Coturnix japonica: one gene and its partners. The protein of the gene in region 3 interacts with the protein of the main gene of each other region in a pairwise test. Links are inferred from orthologs where the notes say so. Each region holds a gene or a part of one and is shown on either strand. Other genes may lie near its edges. The genes, in order: CRYBB2, LBH and CRYAB.

Region 1 (4,957 bases), on a different chromosome or scaffold from region 3:
AGGGGCACACGGAGCGGGTGTGGAGTTACATAAAGGCTGAGGCCATCCAAAACCAACAGCTCCGGGGCTGAAGCTCGGGGCGTTTGCCAAGGGTTTGTTCCCTTCTCAAAGCATCTGCCTGGGCCGTGGGAGCGCTGCCCCTGAGCACAGTGGGACCAAAGGGGACGTGGGCAGCTCACACACAGTGCAGCACCCAGAGCGGGGCTGACCCATAGCTGGGCTGTGCCCCATGTATAAACCCCCCAGAGCCCTACACAGCCCCTCAGCCTCCTGTGCATCCCTCATCCCTGGGGCTGTTCCTGCACTGCACACTGCAGCACTCAGCCACCTACAGAGCTGTTGCTCCCCAGGCTGATCTCCCCAGTTCTTCCCAACAGCCACTTTGGTTGCAAATGCATTTTGTGCTGCGTGTCCCACTGTGAGCTCAGTGCTGGCATGACCTTGGCTGTGAACATGGCCCCGGTGCCAACCAGGTGCACGGAGCATCTCTTGTGCCCTGCCCTGCTGCTCCTGCAGTGCTGGGTTGGGCTGCCCTGGATGGGACAGGCAGGAGGGCTGAGCCTTGAGGCCAACTTCTGGACCCTGTTGTGAGTCCTAAAATTAGAGGAGGACACATCCTGACACTTGTGTGGGTACCATGAGCAGCTGCATGGGGCATGGAAGCGGTAATGGTGTCTGGGACTGGCAGCAGGGATGGCAGATGGGTCACAGCTGCCTGAACACCCCACATGTGTGGTTGTATGGGACACATGGGGACATATTAGTGGGCACAGTGGGGGTGGGTTTGAGTTGGACCAGATAAAGACCTTTCTCTACCCACTTTTACGGTTCTCTTCTTGGTGCTGGGGCACATGCCGTCACCCTGGGCTGGGGGTTCCCTTGTGTGGGATGCTGGTGGCAGCTGAGCATGGGGCCACTCATCACACTGTATGACTCTGCCCCCAGCACTGGGGATGGAGAAGGATCCTGCTCTGGATGTTTCATCAATAGATCATGTACCAGAGCTGCCAAAAGCCATCCCTCATGTGAAGCAGCTTCCTGCACTCACAGCTCTATGTGGCCCCATGGTGGGGCTTCCTGAGCCCCACATTGTGCTCAGATTGTGGCACTGACTCCATGTGCTGCATCAGGGCGAGTGTTGATGGACATCCTCAGGCAGAGGAGCTCTGGGGTCCTTCCATGATGCTGGGACAGGAGGAGCTGCAGGTGGGGGTACAGACCCTGCAGAACACCCTGGAAGTGCTACTCTGCTCTGTGCTAATGCTGTGTGCCACAAGGGGTGACAAGGGAGGGGTCTGCTGCTGCTAGGGGAACTCAGAGCCATGAGCCCCCCAGGAAAAACAGCTTGGACACAAGTGGGATCCTGCAGGCACCGTGTAGGTGCAGAGCTTGCAGGATCCAACAGCGTCTTTGTCCCCATGTGCTGATGGGACCCACACTGAGTCACTGCTGGGGGCCCCAAAAAGGGGTTGGGGCTACAGGAGGACCCCCCAGAGCTCACCCAGCTCAACACAGTGCTGGGTAACTCAGGTGGTTTGCAGTCGGAGCCCTCGGGTTGGCATTGCAGGAGGGAAGTGCTGAGGGCAGCAGTTGGGGCGCTCGCGGCGGTTTGTCGGAGGGATCAATTCCCTGGCTCCAAAACTCCTGAAGCAGGGCTGGCGGGCCTTTGTTCACACAAGGGTCGCTCTGGGTCTTGGCATGCGTTCGGCTGATGCATGCAAACTCCAAATCTCCTTGCCAACAAACCCAACAAAGCGGGTGAGGCGAATGTGAAAGCTAATGAAATAACTCCGACTTGGGGGTTTCGGGAGACAATGGCCCGGCGGGGTCAGCTGACCGAGGTTTTCATTGGGGTTTAATCCAGCATTCTCGCTTTGAATCATGCTGTAGCTATTTGGTAAATAGTCTGGGCATGGTTCTGCTGTGAGGCGGTATAAATTCCACCTCTCGGCCCCAGCCCTCCACTGGCTCAGGCGGTACTGGTCTCACTGGTAAGGATTCTCTCTTTTTGTCCTATCCTTTCTGGGTTCGTTTCTACCCTGTCTTGTAGTTTTCACCTGGACAACTGGGCAACCCATGGGCAGTGCTGCCCAAAGCTGGGCACTAAGTCAGACATAAGACTTTTGACCAGAACCGCCCCATTTTGTGGCTGTTTGGTGCACAGAGCCCATCCCAGCTCTGCGCTGGGACCCTCACTCACCCCATGGGGAACAGGGCTTCAACCTACGAGCAGCACAGTGGGGGACGTGGTCAGGCTGGGGGTCAGCATGGTTCAGCGCTGGGTATGGGGTGCAGATGTGGGCACAGAGCTGGGGCCACAAGCACAGTCTGGTAGCCATTAATGCTGAGCTTCCCCCCAAAGAAGCAGCGTGCCCAGCTGAGCATGGCTTCCGAACACCAGATGCCGGCCTCCAAGCAGCAGCCCGCCAGCTCCAAGGTCAGTCTGTGGGACTGGGGTACCCCGAGCCCCTCTGGGCTCCCCAACTGCAGCTCCAATGCTGGGGTGGCCATGAGGCTGCTCTGCCCTTTGGGGTGTCATCTATGACCAAGGCATCCCAGGGACCTGGGATCTGATTCCAGTCCCCTGCCATCCCCACAGATGTGATCTGAGATGAGATCTCCTGCTGCCCCACTGAACCATGAAATCAGTGTTGAGCTGGCAGCTGGTTGTGCCATGAGGGTGGGGGGCCCTATGGTCAGTGCCTGTGTTTTGGGGTCAGTGTGGGCCATGCCCTGCTCTCATGGCCACGTTCTCCTGCAGATTGCCATCTTCGAGCAGGAGAACTTCCAGGGCCGCTGCCATGAGCTCAGTGGTGCCTGCCCCAACCTGAAGGATGCCGGTGTGGACAAAGTGGGCTCCATTCTGGTGCACTCTGGACCGTACGTTGGTGGAGGTTTGGGCTCCAGGGGGGAGGGATATACCTGGGTTTGCCTTAGATGGAGGCTGCTCCCCCTGCACTGCAGTGCTCATTGGGTTTTATAGGATGTTGAAGAGGGGGCATGGCTGGGGGGCTCATCCCAGCCCCCCCTTGAAGCCCACCCTCTGCTCCCTTCCAGCTGGGTGGGCTACGAGCAGGCAAGCTGCAAGGGTGAGCAGTTTGTGTTTGAGAAGGGGGAGTACCCCCGCTGGGACTCCTGGACCAACAGCCGGAGAAGTGACAGCATCACCTCCCTGAGACCCATCAAAGTGGTGAGAGCACCCCGACAGCCACTACCCACCCGCCAGACCAAGGTCTGCAGCCCGATGGCTTCCCCCGCCTTCCCCCGCCCTCCCCAGCCCCGCGGGCGGAGGGGCAGAACTCAGGGACCCCCAGGGGGTGGTTGGGATGGGGAGTGGTGCCCCGAGAGCTGAGGGTGGCTGCTGGGGGGCGCGGCGGGGGGACCCCTTGCCTCAGTTTCCCCACGGCCCCAAGCTTTGCCCCCTGCCCAGCCCTGGGGCTGGCAGTGCTGATCCCCACCTCCACTCTCCCCACTGCAGGACAGCCAGGAGCACAAGATTGTGCTGTATGAGAACCCCAGCTTCACCGGCAAGAAAATTGAGATCATCGATGACGATGTGCCCAGCTTCCATGCGCATGGCTACCAGGAGAAGGTCTCCTCTGTGAGGGTGCAGAGTGGCACGTGAGTATGGGGCGAGGGGAGCCAATGATGTGCCCACGTGGCACCACGCTATGACCATCCCGTGGCCATTGGGTTGTATTGTGGCCATTGGGTTGTGTTGTGGCCACTGGGCCGCGTCATGGCCATTGAGTCATGCCTTGTGCTTGCCCGCAGGTGGGTGGGCTATCAGTACCCTGGCTACCGAGGCTACCAGTACCTCTTTGAGAAGGGTGACTACAAAGACAGCTCCGAGTTCGGTGCCCAGCACCCTCAGATCCAGTCGGTGCGGCGCATTCGGGACATGCAGTGGCATCAGCGCGGCGCTTATCACCCCTCCAACTGAAGGCCCTGCACTGCCGGGCACAGGGGGCTGAGCGCTGCCCCCACCTGCCGCTGCCCCCACGGCCTCACTTCCCATCTCCCTCCGTGTGAGTCACACCGCAACCGAATAAAGCTTGGAGTTGCAAAGTTGCTGGTCCGGGTCCTTCCTTGGTGGGCACCCAGTGGTCACCTCCCTGTGTATGGGCTGTGGGGATGGAGATGCTCGCATCACCGTGGGGTCTGCAGGGTGGGTGGGTGTCCAGCCTGCACAGCTGTCCTCAGAGCACCCTGGTGGCTGGGTGGATACCTCAATGCTTAATAAAGCAGTTATTAAGCACTACTGATGCTTAATAGTGTTGCTTAATGACTTCTTTAACCCATAATAAGCCTGTAATTTAGCATTAAAAACACTAAATAGCACCTCAATCATTTGCACTCTGAGTTGAGCTGCTGAGCGCCAGCTCCAGTGCAGCACTGCATGCAGGGCTGTGGGGACTGCACAGCTGCAGCACTTCTTGGTTCCCCCCTGCAGCATCACCATGGCTGCGTGTTGCAGTGCATGCACGCAGAGCTGCACCTGGAGCAAGAGGTGCAGGATACAAGGGTGGGTGGCACAGCTGGGTTGAGTGCATTACTTGTACCCAAGCATGGGCTCCAATGGGGTCTGATGGAGACACAGGCACAGCAGCCATATCCCTGCACATGGGGATGCTCTGCTGTGGGTTTGGCACCGATGCAGCCAAATGGGGACACCAGGGGCTGTCAGCCCTACAAGTGGGGCTTTGCACCCCCATGCCCCGCATCACCATCGGCTCTGGCACAGCCCCACACTGTGCAGCATTAATCATCCACCAAATGCCGCTCGGAAATGTCAGCCCCGCTGTGCATCGTGCTTGGCAGCGCCTCGCTGCGTCGCCTCGGCGGAACCGGCTGCCTGCAGATATCTGTGCCAAGGGAAAAACATCAGAACCATCCCAGCACTGAGCATTTCTGCTGGGAGAAACGGGTTTGATGAGCGTGCTGACACTGCCCATGT
Region 2 (5,348 bases), on a different chromosome or scaffold from region 3:
TTGGTTCAGGCCCTGCCTCATTCCCCAGGGGCATAGAGATGTCTGTCAGGCCCTGCTGCCATGTGAGGTGACATGCTACCAGGCCTGCAGCACCAGCCCTCCTCACGGGGCCTCACCTGCCTGCAAGCAGGGAGCCAAGCACCAGTGGGACACGCTGGGAATGAAATACATCCGTTAATAAATAAAACCTGAGTGCAACAAAAAGGGGGAGGGTGGTGATTCAGTGAAGGATCCAATTTTTCAAATGAAGATATTTTCCATACACCGATTCTGGCCAAAACGCATTTCATTTACGCTGACAGGATATAAATACCAACACAGACACACTTTGTTCCCAGTTTGCCCTTCTGTGTTCCTGCTGCATCCAGGCCTTGCTACACGTCTGCTGCCTCTTTGCTGGGGCTGTGCTGGGCAGGGGAGGGCAGCCCATTGCTCCGTGTTCCTCAGCACTGGTGGCTGGTGTGAGCACAGAGCAAGCTCTGCAGGTTCAGAAGGCTGCAGTGAAATGACATTTTAGATATATCATCTGTGTGTGTAACGCAGAAATACCGTGCTAGGTGTCAGCAGGGCCAGGTTTGGCAGAACAGACGTGATGCCTCTTGCAGTAGGCACCAGAAGGAGGTGCTAGCGGGACACATATATGAGCCAAGTGAGGGCTCTCTGAGCACCAAGCTCTGCTTTCAGGCCTGATCCTGCCTTGCTCAGCACACACTTGAATGCATCCAAGCCCAGGGTGCTGGGTGAGACACTGGCCAGCAGGGACAGTGTTCACGTGATGCATCATCATTAGCAACAGAGAAGAAAAGAAAGTCAGGTGGAAAATGGGCTTGTTGCATGGCTACTTCTGGGTTCCTGAACCAGTGGTATGTCTGTGACCTCCATCCCATCCTCCCTTCTGCTCTCCTTTGCTCACCCACCACAGCTGGGCCAGCAAAGGTCCCAAACCAGCAAAGCTCTACAGCCAAAGCCTATTGATCAGGACAAGCCCGAGGGCTCTGGCACACAGGACCACTCACCCACCAGCCCCTCTAGGCCTTCTGCTCCCTTTTTTTTTCAAGCATGGGCCAGTAGTCACTGCAAAAGGCAACACTGTGCAGAAAATGGCTGGAAGGAAAGAGTGGCAGCCTTTTATTTCTATTTTTTTTTTTTTTTACATGAGGAAATAAATAGGGCATGTCCTTTAGCCAGTGTCAGGAGGAAGGGGTCAGTGCCAGGTGGGGCAGCATGCAGGTCTTATGTTCCAGTGGTCAGTTCCAAGTGAGGAGTTTATTTGCTTAGATACTTTCCCTGAAGGACATGGGGCTGTGAGCTCCTGTGAGCCGGATGGAGGCGAAAACATGGGTGTCATGGCACCAGTGATGGCTGCTTGAGCAGCCCGACCCATCCCTTGGCCAGAAGGATACTGCAGTGTGTGTGGATGCAGGGGATCTGAGATGGCAGAGATGCCGTGGACCCCACAGCTACCACACCATCAACCCCAGAGCTGTCTGCCTTCATGCAAGTGAATGTAAATGCAATGAGAAGCCCCCGAGGACTTCTTAAAGGTGGGACAGAGCTGCAGTGCTGCCAGTGCACACCTCAGCCAGAGCAGATCTCTCTTCTCGTGCTTCAGCCCTTCTCCAAAAGGACAATTAATGTACCTATGGCTAATTATATGGATGAGTCTCACAGCGGCTTCCTGCCAAAGAGAGCACTAACAGCAACAACCCTCAAGCTCCCGTGCTGAGCCTGAGCCAGGTTTGTTCCTGGTGGCATCGGAGGGAACTGAGCACCCCCAGCCCAGACGTCAATTGTTCAGCCTCAGAAACGTGCTTTGCAGGCTGAGCCTCGTCCAGCCTTAGGACAGAGCACAGCAGCCTTAGGACAGATCTCATCAGCCTTAGGACAGAGCCCACCAGCCTTAGGACAGATTCCATCAGCAGAGCAGTGAGGGACCCTCAGGGCTCACCTGTACCCACCTGAGCTCCCATGAGCTGGGTCAGCTCCTTGGGACTGGCAGTAATGTGACACAGGGGAGGAGATGCCTGATGTCAAACACCCACATACGCCATCATTATATAATATCAAACTAAGAAGCTTACAATATCCGGCCGGAGGAATCACACACACCTATGCCCGCATGCACACGTGTACGGAGCACAACCGAGGGCACCCATTGAACCTCGCAGCCATCTCCGAGCTCTGCCCCCCGGAGCGGCGCTCCGAAGCCATTCATGAAATGCTGCCGTCATTCGGAGGGGCGGGCACTGATGAGGCCATGCCCCCTCAGCTATTTAAGGCGGCTCGGCGCTGCCGCCGGGGCTCAGAGCTGCTGCGGCGTTTGGGTTCTCTGTGTGGTCCCGTCCAACATCAGCCTCGTGTGCCTCGGTGCCCTGCCGCCACCCCCAGGGCGTGGGCAGCCTCCGCAGGGACTTCATGTCTGTGCTTTGTCCCCTGCCCTGGTGAGTGGGCACTGCTGCCGCCCTATCCGGGGGTCGTGCGGCGGTGCTGAGCCCCGTTGTTCCGTCTCCTGCCCGCAGGAGTTGGTTGGGGTGGGGGCACGGAGGGAGCGGCGACCCTCGGTCCTCCCCGGAGCCCTGACGTTGGTCTGAATGATGTTCTTTGTTTCCAGCCCCGATTACCTGAGATCAGCCGAGATGACCGAAGTGATGATGAGCAGCCCGGCTATGGATGAGATCGGACTCAGCCCCCGTAAGGACGGGCTCTCGTATCAAGTGAGTATTCGATTCCCTGCGGAGCTGCCTGGGCTGGACCGTGGTGAATATTATAGCAAGTCCTGCAGTAAGGGCTGGTCAGTGAGCTGAGACGCTTGCTTGGCTAGTAGAATCTGTGTAAAATACGGCATAGTTATCTGCTCCGAGTGCTTAGCAGAGTGCTTTGTTCCTGAAGTGCCCAAATCCCAGCTTGTTGGGTGTGCACAGAGGCTCAGTGGGAGAGGAGATGCCCTGCCGGAAAGGTCCGTGTCAGACACCAGGCTGAGAGGCTGCTGGGGTCTCCACAACCATGGCTTGCAAATGAGTTGTCTGAAGCGGAAGGGACTTGTCTGTACAGCGCTTAAATCTTCCAAGCTATTCCTTGGTTTTCCCCCTGTTTGAAAGGGTTAAGTCTATTGTAAGATACAGAGAGGCTGGGTGCAGCGCTGACGAGCCTTGAGGTGTGCGTGCAAACACATTACCTGAAGGCATGAGCTGCATCCATTCTGCAACTGGTGAATAATGTAATTAGCTTTTAACCTCTTAGTCAATAGCTGAGGCAAAGGGGTGCTTTCAAACTCCAGCCTCTATCCTTCAGCCTCAGTGCTTCCAGTCAATCACAGGGTGAGCTGTGTATCTTTGCCTATTAGATCCAAGTTTCCCTACTCTGGCAGACTTGTTGGTGAGGTTTAATACATGCACAGCTCTTGTGTTACTCTGCACAGGGTGACTCTTCATGGCAGATTGCAGTACAGAGTTCTTCCTTTGCAGATGTGACACAGCCCATACGGAGGCACTTGCTCTACGTGGGCATTCGGATATTAGGTGTGCTGTTGTACACTTGCATATTTATGTCTGAAAAATGAGCTAGGAGCCTGTGACAGTGCTCTGAAGCATGAAATCAACAGAACTTTGGGCCGTGGCTCGGGCAGAAGCCAAAGCTGTGGGAGGGGAGGGGGGGGGAGGATAAATAGGGTTGCATTGCTTTTTTTGGTCAGAATTCTCCATCTGAACAGTGCAAATAATTTGGTTTATTGCCTGTTTGTGGAAATAGCTGTTTTGTTTTAGTGCTTGAGTTAGTGGAAAGCATATGGCCTCGCTTTCCTCTGCTATAGAGAATGTGTAACTGCAGTGGGAATGGCTGTGAGAGTTGAAGCTATTGCACTAGTCTTTGCCAGATGTTCAAACAAGTGTCTTAAATGGGGCACTGTATGCAGGCCCACTCAGGTCTGATATTGGTTTGCTTATCTAAACAGTGGGAGACAGATGGATGCCCCACTTATTCATGACTGATAGCTTCAGTGAGGTTTTACCCCTAGTGCTGATGCCCTCAGTGAGTCTGTGAACTGGAGAGCAAACCTGCAGCTTTGAGTGGATCATCTGAACCTGAGGGTGCTGTAAATGCAACGACTCACATCTATGCAGGACTTGTCTATCTTGGATCTGTTCTCTGTAGTGATCTGGTCACAGGGTTCTCAGTGCCCACAGGAGCTGCTAACTGCCTGCTAGACTTTGGCTTCCTTGTAAGCTGAACTGATGGCAGAAAGGCCTGGAGTATTGAGAGGGCAGCTGCTGCTGAGCGGTGTGTGGGCTGGGGATGAGGTCTGCCTCTAAATCAGGTTAGTGCAAAGAAGATTGAGAGTAGGTTGCAACCTTCTTCCTTTTAACTGCGTGGCTGAAAATGTGGCTGTGCAAAGTGAGAAGTTGAAATCATCCTTAAGCAGCTGAAAATTGAAGTTAAAATAGCAAGGACAAATCAAGTGCAAATAGTATCACAAACCTGTTTTGTCTTGGGGTTTGGAACTTCTTGCTTCGTCCTGCTGATGGAGGGCGTTGGGTATGTGTGAAATGGTATGCTGCTCTGAGAGCTGTAGTGCAATAACTTAAAACCAGGCAGAGCTAACAGAGCATGACTGCTCTGGCTCTGAGGCTTGAGCTAAGCTGCAGCATCCTCCCTCACCCACCTGCAGAGCAGCGTGCTCACAGTGAGTGTGACCACTCTTGGCTACAGGAAAAGAAACAGTGGATCCAGAGCTATGAGAGCTGAGCTTCTAGTTTCCAGAGCTTCTTATGTAGTAGAACTTGGATTTGTTCTCCTGCAGAGATGACATGAAGCTGGGGTCCATTGTGCTGCCCTTGGGGCTGTGCGGAGAAGGATCTGGGACCTACCTCATCAATTACTGTTCTGAAGTACTTTTGTTTTCCTAGTAAAGCCTTGGAAGTAAACTGAGGAAACCAACACCTCCAGAGCGTAAACAAGCAGTTGGGTTCTTTCACCCCATAATACTGAACATCAGGTCTCCTGCCTGTCTCACTGGTTACCTTCTGATGGAACTTGTGGCTCGTCAGCTTTTCTTCTACCCTCTCCGTGTCTCATATCACACTCCAGAGTGTGCTTATATGTCCCCATGAGGTGTGCATCCCCCAGCCATGTTTCCTGGTGTTCTTTAGGTTGGACACGACTGTGATGATGTGAAAACCTGAGCTGCAGAAGTCTCATACCTATGATAACTGAGCTGTCTGTGTAGGCTTAGTAATTTGTATGTGGTTTCATTTGCACAATGTGCTTTCTCAGCACAGATACCTTTTTCCAGTTAGCGTGCCAAATGCTTGCAAGCTGATGTGCAAACTTCAAAGCCTTTTAGTACGGAGCGG
Region 3 (5,344 bases):
AGGAGGAGGTGGACCTTCCTTAGAGAGTCCCTGACTGTGCCTTGGCTATCCTCCTGGTTTTGCCTGGGATCCCATGCTTGGTCTTCCTTGGATCCTGAAGCTCCTCCCCAGAGGGACTCTATCAGCCCCCTGCACCTGAAGACAGAGAACTGCTGGGGGTCCCATCTCCCTGCTTACCTTCTCCAAAGTTCTGGTCGTAGATCTTGCTGGGGTTGGCGAACTCGTACTCTGAGCTCATGGGGTAGGCGTGGGGCACCGTCCGCGCGGCCATGGCAAGCTGAGGAACAGGCCTGTCCAAGCTCTCACTGCCTCTGAGAGCGAAGGCTGCAGATTGCAAGGTTTTAGTTGGGTGAATTCCACAGGGAGGAGTGTGTGATAAAAAGACGGACCAAAATAGCTGTGCACACAGGCCCCGGGCCGCCTCGCCAGGGTGACGAGGGCAGCTCCTCATTGCATTCCTGTAGAGCTGCAGGCTCTGACTGCCGGCGGGGTGCAATCCTGCACCCCCTGGCTCTCCACCTTGGGCAGGGAACAAGAGGCAGGAACAGGGCACCCAGCACTGCCCCTGCCAACCCAGCAGGGCACAGGGCTATGCCTAATGGTGGCTGATGCTTGGTCAGGTTGTGTGCAGTCATGCAAAGTCATCGCTGTGAGTTTATCGCTCATATCAACCCCACAGAAAGGGATCTGTTTCCCCCAGAAGCTGAGTCTTTTGTTCCTGGGAGTGGTAAGGTGCTGCAGACCGCTAAGTGGCACTGAACAGGGTGCAGACCATGATGCTGACACTCCAGAACTGTGCCACTGTGAGCCAGCTGACCAGGCTGTGCCTTGGCCAGGGCTTCAGTGCTGCTCAGTGGGACCAGAGAAATGCCTGTGCTGGAGGTGGTGCATTAACCAGAGTCTGAAACTGGCCTAGATCCACTTTTACTAAACTGGGTGTTAGTACCCATTTAAGCTCCTTGTACTCTGAAACCAGAGATTTCCATGTCTCTGCAGTGCGAGAGAGCAGGTGCACTACTGCTGACGTAACATGGAACTGGATAAAGTATTTATGGCTGGGGCTTCTGCAGAGAGAATTCTACACCCTAATCTTGCAGGCAAGTGAACAGGAAGAGAGTCGAGCCCTTTTGCAGGGGACCGGTGGTGCTAGCAGTGAGAATCATGTGCCCTCAAGCCAGAAGTCTGTATTTAAGTTGCAGATAATCAGAGCTCTTGTCCTTAAAGGACAGCTGCTGGGCTGAACCCAGCCTCATGATCTGAACTGATAGCTGCTGGGCACAGGCAGATCAAGGTAGTTTGCATCCCAGAGAAGGCAAGCAGTGGTGCAGCTCTGCAGGGCTGCTGTGTGCCTGCTTTATCTCTGCTCACAGGGTGCTGGGCTCTTCTGCCCTCTCCAGCAGAGCGATTTCTCGAGTGGGCAAAGGACAAGAGTTGTCAGCTGATGCTCTGTGGAAACCATCCTTAGTGTGCACACACCAGCAGGTGCTCAGGTATGGTGCTCACCAGGCTGCAGAGCTGCACACCAGGGTACCTCAGCACAGACCTTTTGGGGTCCATGTTGCCCTCTCATTAAGGCCTGGGGCTTCCTTCACTTTAAGGGAAGGCAGAGCCCTTCCTTGGCGCGTGGGTGCAGTGGGGAACTGTAGCCTTGGTGCCGTCACTGGGAACAACAGTCCCTTGTCCTTTTCCATGTGAACCAAAGATAGGAGCTGCATTGATCCTGCTGGCATCCAAAGCAGCTGGGAACATCCGCCAAGCCTGCCTGGGACTCAACAGATAAACAGCACGTGGGGTGCAGAGAGGGTGGCTGGGCAGCTTGGCTTCTTGCTGTCCCATTAGTGTCCTTCTTCTCCCCTTCCCCCTCCTCCTTAGCAGTCTGTTCAAACCCCCGGACGCTCCTGGGCACTGCTGAAGGGACCAGTCCCGGACTGGGACAATAAAATCCCTGACACCACTATTTGAGAGGCCTCGGGGGGAGAGGCCCCGCCAGCCGCACGGGTATAAAGCTGCCCCCTGTGCTGGGCACAGCACCGCAGCAGTTGTTTGCTTGGCTCCTCTGTCGCACTCCGATGGATATCACCATTCACAACCCCCTGATCCGCAGACCTCTGTTTTCTTGGTTAACACCGAGCCGTATCTTTGACCAGCTATTTGGAGAGCACCTGCAGGAGTCAGAGCTGCTCCCTACGTCCCCCAGCTTCAGCCCCTTCCTGATGAGATCCCCCTTCTTTCGGATGCCCAGTTGGCTGGAGACGGGACTCTCAGAGGTAATCTTCCTTGCTTACTGTTTCTTGTTACCACTAGGTGCACATCCTGACGGGTCTGGAGCTGGGGACCCGGGAGAGCTGGGACACTGCTTGTAGGTAGTTAATAGGAAATCTATTATGAGGAAAAGAGTGCTGAGTTCTTGCCTCTGCTCCTTGGTGTTAGGCAAGGACCTCTGCACTCTCTGCTAATCACTTGTAACTGAGAGCAAATATTGCCACAGCCATGGGCACAGAGACAAACTGAGCTGTGTGTGTGCTGTGAATGACTGTAGAAGCCAGCAAGAGAAAGGAGGAAGCCTGATTTCTCTGTCTGCCCTGAAAAATTTTACATTCTGCGTCCTCCTGAGAAGCAGAGGGGCAGTGGGACCCCGTGCCAGGCAGCATGGGAGCCCCCAGATGCTGAGTAGAAAGGCCCAAGCTAAAGCATCTCTGCCAGGCAGAGCAGTGTTTTCAGAGAGATATGGGATGGGAGGACCTTTAAATGGCCATCTGCTTCGGGGGCTGAGGCACGCAGCTCAAATGACTTTGCTCAGCATGCAGGTCAGATGCCAATGTGCAAATAACTTAAAGAGTTACTCAAAGCCAGTGGAGTGAGAGGGAAGTATTTTCTTAATCTTTGCTTAATGTTTCCCTTGGTTTAGTCACCTGGTCTGGTCATATGCTGAAGCAGCCATAATAAGCACCACAGGTAACAACATCAACATCTGACTTTTTCAGTGGAGAAATCTTCACAGTAATCTAGCAAAAGGAGCAGGAAGCCCTCCAGGTAAAACTGAGGAAACCAGTAACCAGAAAGCTAGAACTGGCATGGAAGCTGCCTCCATGTCCCAAAACAGAGCTGCAGGAGGCTCGCGTTTTCCCTGACTGTGACTGCAGCAGGAAGGCAGAGACAGCCAGCCTGCATTGCCGTGTCCCACTGACTTATCCAAGACAGGCAGAAAATGCAAATTCAACCTCAGGAGCAAGCAAAAAGCAGCATTTGCTGGAGATGATAAAGTGCAGAATGGAAGGTAAGGATGCAAGATGAGCAGCAGGTGACTCAGAGTTTCAGCAGTAGCCCTGCTGCTCAGATAAGAGGGGTGAGCTGGTAGTGCTGCTCAGCTGAGACACGCTATTTTTGTTTTTAAAGAGTGACGACGCAGGGGAAAGCCTGCAAGTGACACAGATGAGCTGCAGCCAGCTGCACACTCTGTTTCTTTTTCCAGAAAGACTTAGCAAAATCCAGCTGCAGAGACTGGAAATCTCCAGACACCTCAGAAAAAGTAGATAGGAGTCAGTTTTAACAAATTCAGATTGAGAAAGTCTCTTTCTTATTTCCCAGAAAATATCTATTCTCTGTTTATCCAGAGAGAAAGCATCATGTTTTATGTGCTGTAGTGGTGGGCATGAATGGAACAGGCTAGCAAGAGCCAGATGAGAACCCCAGGACTGAAAACAGGAGGTCAGACAGTGCGTGTGGGGAGCCCAGCGTGAGCGTGACTTGCTGCATGTTGAGAGTCTGATGAAGCTGAAACCTCTGCCTGAAGTCGTCTCCTTGTTTTACAGATGCGACTGGAGAAAGACAAATTTTCTGTAAATCTTGATGTGAAGCATTTCTCCCCCGAGGAGCTAAAAGTGAAGGTGATTGGGGACATGATAGAAATTCATGGGAAACACGAGGAGCGCCAGGTACTTCTGTGTCACTGTTAACCAATGTGTGCTTCTTCACCTATGGTTAAACAAGGAAGCTGCAGAACAATCCTCCTCTGTGCTCTTCTGAAACACTTCCAGTGTTTTTGATCAACCAGTCCTAATGGAAGATGCTCTATGCAAACCCCCAGCTGATCCCAGACTGGGCAGCAGCAGAGTGGAGATTTAGTGCTGGTATTGCATGAACTGTGAACTGAACTGGAAAATCAACTTTGAAATAAGCATTTCCGGGCCTCCCTCTTTCTGGAAGAGGACAGGAATGCAGAGAAGCATTCAATAAGTTAACAATGAGCTGTAATAATTAAACCGCATAACGAATGAATGCATTGCCATGTTCCATTAGCAAGAAGCTATCTCTTCTTGAAAAAATACCCATTTACCAACTTACAGTCCTTAAAGGCTGTACTCTGCTGTCAGCCATCCCATTGCTTACTGGCTCTGTGGCAAAAGGTCAAAGAGAGGCCAAAAGCCACGTCCAAAGCTGTATGTAACAGGGATTACCTATCCTCCTATCCTTGCAAGAAGGAAACAAATCCTAAAGTACCTGTATCATTGTACCCATCAGCTCCAAAACTTCTGGGTGCCCAGATCTGTCAGTCAAATGCAGCACTACTCATAGACACTGGAAGCCTGTAATTCTGAAATAGCTTCTGCGGGGTTTTTTTTGTTTGTTTGTTTTTTGTTTGTTTTGGCTAAGAAATGAATCCAGAGCTAGAGCTGAGATGAGCTCACTGGGGAGCTGCATATGCTGTGGGCCCTGGAGACCCTCAGGAGGAGGAGCTGCTGGTTCTGCAGGTAGCTGTAACTCCTGCATCTTAGCCATGACAGCACAACACTGTGAAACGAAGCTGGCAGACACAAGAGCTGGAGGAGAAAGCCTCATCCTGCAAAGGGTGCCTGCACCACCTGCAGGGGCAGGGTAATCTCACTTCAGCTCTTCTCAGATTTTTACAAAGGCAATCTCATAATAAAAACTCTTTTAACTTACTGAAAAGTTTTCTTTTGGGAGCTGAAGCTTTCTCAACTCAGACTATGTGCTGAAGGCCCATAGTTTAGGTGGAGCTGAGGGAACACTTCTAATCAGGGCTGTTTCTTCTCTTCTCTTTTTGAAGGATGAGCATGGCTTTATTGCCAGGGAGTTCAGCAGGAAATACAGGATCCCAGCTGAAGTGGATCCCCTGACCATAACCTCATCACTCTCTCTGGATGGAGTCCTGACAGTGACCGCACCAAGGAAACAAAGCGACGTCCCTGAGCGCAATATTCCTATCACCCGTGAAGAGAAGCCTGCCATTGCAGGATCCCAGAGGAAGTAGGCTGCTATATAACGTCATGCCAAGGCCATTCAAGAGCACTTCCCATCAGATGCCAGCTGTACTCAATGGCCA

The links.
Region 1: the proteins of CRYAB (region 3) and CRYBB2 interact in a two-hybrid assay, tested with the Homo sapiens proteins (2 studies listed by BioGRID and IntAct). The link is inferred for Coturnix japonica from reciprocal best matches to the Homo sapiens genes CRYAB and CRYBB2.
Region 2: the proteins of CRYAB (region 3) and LBH interact in a two-hybrid assay, tested with the Homo sapiens proteins (2 studies listed by BioGRID, with this or other methods). The link is inferred for Coturnix japonica from reciprocal best matches to the Homo sapiens genes CRYAB and LBH.

What each region holds. Positions count from the first base shown.
Region 1 is NC_029530.1:6,102,267-6,107,223, forward strand, and holds CRYBB2 (beta-crystallin B2), read left to right. Parts: upstream 1-1,862; 5' UTR 1,863-1,991; intron 1,992-2,362; 5' UTR 2,363-2,383; coding exon 2,384-2,437; intron 2,438-2,761; coding exon 2,762-2,880; intron 2,881-3,057; coding exon 3,058-3,232; intron 3,233-3,478; coding exon 3,479-3,621; intron 3,622-3,774; coding exon 3,775-3,943; 3' UTR 3,944-4,068; downstream 4,069-4,957. UniProt on the Homo sapiens protein: Crystallins are the dominant structural components of the vertebrate eye lens.
Region 2 is NC_029518.1:9,687,360-9,692,707, reverse strand, and holds the start of LBH (protein LBH), read left to right. Parts: upstream 1-2,289; 5' UTR 2,290-2,415; coding exon 2,416-2,441; intron 2,442-2,611; coding exon 2,612-2,714; intron 2,715-5,348. UniProt on the Homo sapiens protein: Transcriptional activator which may act in mitogen-activated protein kinase signaling pathway.
Region 3 is NC_029539.1:5,448,859-5,454,202, forward strand, and holds the start of CRYAB (alpha-crystallin B chain), read left to right. Parts: upstream 1-1,866; 5' UTR 1,867-2,069; coding exon 2,070-2,267; intron 2,268-2,343; exon of another isoform or gene 2,344-3,277; intron 3,278-3,812; coding exon 3,813-3,935; intron 3,936-5,068; coding exon 5,069-5,272; 3' UTR 5,273-5,344. Other genes in the region: HSPB2 (heat shock protein beta-2), read right to left, coding at 178-451. UniProt on the Homo sapiens protein: May contribute to the transparency and refractive index of the lens. Has chaperone-like activity, preventing aggregation of various proteins under a wide range of stress conditions.